Linked DNA regions of Macaca mulatta. The protein of the gene in region 1 interacts with the protein of each later gene in a pairwise test. Links are inferred from orthologs where the notes say so. Each region holds a gene or a part of one and is shown on either strand. Other genes may lie near its edges.

Evidence for each region.
Region 2: the proteins of NR1H2 (region 1) and MED1 interact in a two-hybrid assay, tested with the Homo sapiens proteins (2 studies listed by BioGRID and IntAct, with this or other methods). The link is inferred for Macaca mulatta from reciprocal best matches to the Homo sapiens genes NR1H2 and MED1.

Annotation. Positions count from the first base shown.
Region 1 is NC_133424.1:62,768,866-62,771,365, reverse strand, and holds part of NR1H2 (oxysterols receptor LXR-beta), read right to left. Parts: intron 2,014-2,500; coding exon 1,914-2,013; coding exon of another isoform or gene 1,887-1,913; intron 1-1,886. UniProt on the Homo sapiens protein: Nuclear receptor that exhibits a ligand-dependent transcriptional activation activity. Binds preferentially to double-stranded oligonucleotide direct repeats having the consensus half-site sequence 5'-AGGTCA-3' and 4-nt spacing (DR-4).
Region 2 is NC_133421.1:63,789,089-63,792,839, forward strand, and holds the start of MED1 (mediator of RNA polymerase II transcription subunit 1), read right to left. Parts: upstream 2,261-3,751; 5' UTR 2,051-2,260; coding exon 2,026-2,050; intron 1-2,025. UniProt on the Homo sapiens protein: Component of the Mediator complex, a coactivator involved in the regulated transcription of nearly all RNA polymerase II-dependent genes.

The sequences.
Region 1 (2,500 bases):
CACTTACATTGAGGGCCTAGGGAACAGGTCATAGACAAACACATTAGGAAGAGGCCCAGCCAGTCAGAAGGCTGTGAGTTCTATGGAATCAGGCAGTGCAGAGAAGGGCAAAGGGCCCTGCTGAGCCACGGTTCTATTTTACACAAGGCGGGCAGGGAAGGCCATGCCGTGGGTGACGCTGGAGCAGTGACCAACCCCAAGGAGGTGAGGGATTGTGAGGGTGACCAACTGTCTGCTGTTCCCAGGACTTGGGACAGGGGCTACCCAGGCCATGGGACTTTCAGTGTTAAAACTGGGAAGGTCCTGGGCAAACTAGGACCAGTTGGTCCCCCTAGTTCTGGGCAAAGGAAACTCCCAAGTACAGCATGGCAGGTGGGTGCCAGTAAGAGGCCAGAGTGACTGGAGGAGGGGGAGAGGGTGGAAGCTGAGGGCAGAGAGTAAGCGAGGCCAGGTCCTAAAGGGCTTTGTGGGCCACAGAGAGAACTCCAGCTCTTCTCCCAGTGAGACGGGAGCTGTGGAGGGTTCTGAGCAGAGGAGGGATGTGGGCGGCCTCAAGTGCTGACAGGACCCTTCTGCCTGCCCTGTGAGCAGCTCCATCAGGCGGGGGTGGAGGCAGGGGCCCCTCAAGGGGACTCTGGCAGTGTTCCAGGGTGGTGCCAGAGGAGGGGCTGGGAAGGGGTAGGGTGGGATTCCCGACCTCTCCACCCCGTCTCCTTGTGCTCCAGCTGCCTGGGCCTCCCTGTAGTTCCTCCAAACCACCGGCTCTCCCTGACCTCAGGGCCTTTGCAATCGCCGATCCCCCTGCCAGAAACGCTTCCACGAAGCCCTGCCCTGCTAAGCTCATACTAAAAGGGTTACTGGGACCGTCTTGGGTGGTGAAAGGGCCAGGGTAAAAGGAAGGGGAGAGGGTGGGACTCAGACAGATGTCGGGAAATGCAGAGAGGTCCCACACAGATTACGGGACGATGAGGAATCGAGGCTCCGGTGTATGCTCTGCAGCACTAGCAACGTGCCTCCCACCCTCTTCCTAGGCAGTGCCTCTCACTGCCCAGGCCTTCTTCCAGAAGCCCACCCGCCCAGGCGACACACCCAGGTAGCGCTCTCGGAGGGCAGGAAGCAGTGCTCCTGGACAGTAGGGAAGGCTGCCCACTTCACAATGGACTGAGCTCCAGGCTGCCTCCCTTGGGTGAGACCAGGTTTTGGGGTGGGGGGATGCTTTCCCTAGTGCCCACCAAGACGCCTGATATGGTAACAGGGCCCTTCTGTCTCAACTTCCACTGCAACCCACTGTACAGAGTCGGCACTCAATACATGCTTTTTTTTTTTTTGAGACGGGGTCTCGCTCTGTTGCCCAGGCTAGAGTACAGTGGCGCGATCTCGGCTCACTGCAACCTCCGCCTCCTGGGTTCAAGCCATTCTCTTGCCTCAGCTTCCCGAGTAGCTGGGACTACAGGTGTCCGCCCCCACGCCTGGCTAATTTTTTGTATTTTTAGTAGAGACAGGGTTTCACTGTGTTAGCCAGGATGGTCTCGACCTCCTGACCTCATGATCCGCCCACCTCAGCCTCCCAAAGTGCTGGGATTACAGGCGTGAGTCACCGTGCTCGGCCAATACATGCTTTTTTTGAAAAAAATAGAGACACGGTCTCTTCTGTCGCTAGGCTGGAGTGCTGTGGCACAATCACAGCTCACTGTAGCCTCAAGCCATCTTCCCTCCTCAGCCTCCTGAGTAGCTGGGCCGACAGGCACACACCACCACGCATGACATACACACTCTTGTCTTGCTCTCACCTTGGCTCAACCCTCACCCCGGCTTTGGAGATAAAGAAACAGACTCTGACAGGGATGAATTGGCCCCAGGTCTTCCAGCTAGCAGGGGGGCCAAGCCTCCCCAAAGCCTCCCCTGGGCCCTACCTGCACGGTGGAAGTCGTCCTTGCTATAGGTGAAGTCCTTCAGGAAGGTGATACACTCTGTCTCGTGGTTGTAGCGCCTGGCTGTCTCCAACAGCATGATCTGAGGGTGGCAGTGGGAGGGGGCTCAAGCCCTGTGACCCTTCGGCTGCTAGTCCCTCCCCTGCTGGCCCAAATGGGGTTCTAATCTCACCAGGAATATCCCTCGTCCCCCGTTCTCTCAGCCACACCAGTGTGCAGCCATCACGTGAGACAGCCCAAGCTCCTTCTTCATTTTGGGCTTTCGCACACGTTGCATCCCCTTCTCCTTAGGATACTCCTTCCCCAGGTGGGCACAAGGTATAGGAGCAGGGGGTTTGATCTGCTTTGTTCTTTGCCATATGCCAACACTTGGTATAGAGCCTAGCATACAGTAGGCGCTCAATACTTGTATGTTATCCCTACTTTGATTCAAACGCTAACTCCTCTGAAAAGCCTTTTTGGCAACTTTTCTCTAAAATAGCCTCTCTGGCCTGATCCTCAATTTTCTCAGCTTCAGACCCTTTTTTCTTTTTCTTCTTGGCTCATAGAAGACTCTATTTGCCATGGAA
Region 2 (3,751 bases), on another chromosome or scaffold:
TTTTTTTTTTTTTTTTTTTAAGACAGAGCATCACCCTGCAGCCCCGGCTTAAGTGCATTGGCACAATCAAGGTCTACTGTAGCCTCGACCTCCCATGCTCCAGGATCAAGTGATCCTCCCAGCTCAGCCTTCAGAGTAGCTGGGGCTATAGCTAATTTTTCCTTGAAACAGGGTCTCGCTCTGTCACCCAGGTTGGAGTGCAGTGGCACAATTCTGGCTCACTGGAGCCTTGACCTACAGGATTCAGGTAATCCTCCCACCTCAGCCTCCCAAGTAGCTGAGACTACTGGCTTGTGCCACCATGCCTAGTTAATTTTTATATTTGTTGTAGAGACAGGCTTTTGCCAGGTTGTCCAGGCTGGTCTCCAACTTGTGAGCTCAAGTGATCTGCCTGCTTCGGTCTCCCAAAGTGCTGGGACTACATCCTTGAGTCACTACCTGGTCCTAATTTTTTTTATTTTTTATTTTATTTATTTATTTATTTTTAATTAATTTATTTATATTTTTGAGACGGAGTTTTGCTCTCGTTGCCCAGACTGGAGTCCAGTGGCACCACCTTGGCTCACTGCAACCTCCACCTCCTGGGTTTGAGTGATTCTCCTGCCTCAGTCTCCCAAGTAGCTGGGATTGCAGGCATGCCACCATGCCGGGCTAATTTTGTATTTTTAGTAGAGACAGGGTTTCACCATGTTGGCCAGGCTGGTCTTGAACTCTTGACCTCAGGTGATCCGCCACCTTGGTCTCCCAAAATGCTGGGATTACAGGAATGAGCCACCACGCCCAGCCAATTTTTTTTTTTTTTTTTTTTTTTTTTTGAGAGGAAGTTTCCCTCTTGTTGCCCAGGCAGGAGTGCAATGGCACAATCTTGGCTCACCACAACCTCCACCTCCTGGGTTCAAGTGATCCTCCCACCTCAGCCTCCCAAGTAGCTGGGATTACAGACATACACCACCACAGCCAGCTAATTTTGTGTTTTTAGTAGAGCCAGGGTTTCTCCATGTTGGTCAGGCTGGTCTCAATCTCCCGACCTCAGGTGATCCGCCCGCCTCGACTTCCCAAAGTGCTGGGATTACAGGCGTGAGCCACGGCGCCCGGCAATTTTTCATTTTTTTGTAGAGACAGGGCCTCACTATGTTGCCCAGGCAGGTCTCGAACTCCTGGGCTCAAGGGATCCTCCAGCCTCAGCCTCCCAAAGCGCAGGGATTACAGATGTGAGTCACTGCTCCCGCGGGGCCTCACCTTTCGACCTCTCCTCCAAAACACACTCCTTGTTTTTCTTGAGAAACCTGCTGATAAATATCTGCACTTCGATGCTCCAAGATTTTTTGAGCGACTATTACGTTCCAGAAACTATATAAAAATGAATCAGGCAAGGACCCTAATCTGCAAAGCTCAGAGTAAACTGGAGATAAACAAACAATAACACAGCTCACTGTATCAACAGAACTATGCCCAAAATGCCAAGGAAGCATCTAAGCCGGAGTGTGGAACTTTAGAAAATCTTAGTAAAGTTCCCCAGGAAAGTTGTTTTTCTGCAGTTATTAGTTCGGTCAATAAAAGAATGAAATTCAGCACAGTTTAAAAATACACAACAGTACAGGATCTGAACACTTGACATTGTAGGGATCCGCTGGCTGCTAATAAATACAAGGAATTAATCATTTCATTCATGCCAAAATAGTCTCCAGTACGTTTACACACAGCCCTAAATTTATTCAGGCGTCTCTTCTGGAAGGAGATGTAAGCTGGTTTTGTATTCACTAGCCCCGTCTCGCACCACTTTAGGCCAAAAGTGCCCTAGCCGAGCATGAAATCTTCACAGAAGTTGAGAGTCCCCATCACCCCAAAGTCGAAGCTCTATAGTCATCAAGGAGGGTATAGTGACAATCTAAAACTCATACACATTCCCTCTCCCGGACTCTGTGCCCCTCAAGTGGCCCCCATGGGACATCTGCAAGAACCTTCTCTCACAAACTGGCTCCCCCAGTTGTGTCCCGCCCCCTCCTTTCCCCCTCAGTCACTTACCCTCGGTTTCCCCCTGAGCTTTCATCCTGAAGGCGGCGAGAGACTGGATCTGCCACAAAAGGATAAGCCCTTCCCCACCACTAACGGGGGAAACAAGTTGGCTCGGGATTCCAGGACGCAGGGTACCAGCAGTCCCTACTCTTCGCGGGAAGGATCAGTCTGAAGTCCCCGGCGGCAAGAAGAGAAGGGTGCTCGAGGCCGCCGCCATCTTCCCCAACGGAACTTCCCAAAATTCGCGAGATAAACCGTGGTCCTGCCAGAAAGAGGAAAAGGACAGGGCATCGAAATCTCGCGAATATTGGTCGATGCGTGGGCCTCGCGAGATTTCTTTCAGCCCTGTCTTCTTTGATCTGAGTTGTCTCAGGCCTCACGCCGCTGTATGTAGCTTTCAGCTCCCTTCGGAAACCGGCATTTTTTTGTTTATTTTATTTTAGCAGTTAACTCGCAAATTAACTGATTAATTAACATGTCGCTGTACTTAAAGACTGGCTTTTTTTTTTTTTTTTTTTTTTTTTTTGACACGGAGCCTTGCTCTTGTCGCCCAGGCCGGAGTGCAATGGCACGATCTCGGCTCACTGCAACCTCCGTCTCCCGGGTTCAAGCGATTCTCCTGCCTCAGCCTCCATAGTAGCTGGGATTACAGGCACCCGCCACCACGCCTGGCTAATTTTTGTATTTTTAGTAGAGACGGCGTTTCGCCTTGGCTAGTCACCCGGCCAAGACTAGCATTTCAAAGGGTATCGGTATCAGAAATGTCTTATGAAAAATAAGTTTAACCTGAGATACTAGATGCAGTAATTACATCCTAAGAAAGATAGTGGCGCGGCCGGGCGCGGTGGCTCACGCCTGTAATCCCAGCACTTTGGGAGGCCGAGGCAGGCGGATCACGAGGTCAGGAGATCGAGACCATCCTGGCTAACACGGTGAAACCCCGTCTCTACCAAAAATACAAAAAAATTAGCCGGGCGTGGTGGCAGGTGCCTGTAGTCCCAGCTACTCGGGAGGCTGAGGCAGGAGAATGGCGTGAACCCGGGAGGCGGAGCTTGCAGTGAGCGGAGATCGTGACACTGAACTCCAGCCTAGGCGACAGAGCGAGACTCCGTCTCAAAAAAAAAAAAAAAAAAGATAGTGGCGCATTGTAACATGATGTTCAAAGCGAGACTAGCACAGTTCATTCCCCTTTTCTCATTTTTTTCGTTTCAAAATTATTTCTGGCTGGCCGCAGTGGCTCACGCCTGTAATCCCCACACTTTGGGAGGCCGAGGCAGGTGGATCAAATGAGGTCAGGAGTTTGAGACCAGCCTGGCTAACATGGTGAATCTCCGTCTCTACGAAAAATACAAAAATTAGCCCGGTGGTGCGCTCCTGTAATCCCAGCTATTCAGGAGGCTGAGGCAGGAGGATCACTTGAACCCATGAAGCATAAATTGCAGTGAGCAGAGATCATGTCACTGCACTCTAGCCTGGGTGACAGAGTGAGACTCTGTCTCAAAAAAAAAAGAAAAAACTGTATAATTTGCTATCCTCAAACTAAGTGTTCTTCACTTAGTAAGCATCTGTGGAGTCCTAATATGTGTATATTTGGAACTGGTAATACAAACATGAAAACACGACCAGGCACAGAGCTACTCAGGAGGCTGAAGCAGGAGAATCGCTTAAATCCCGGAGGCAGAGGTTGCAGTGAGCCGAGATCATGCTACTGCACTCCAGCCTGAGTGGTAGAGCA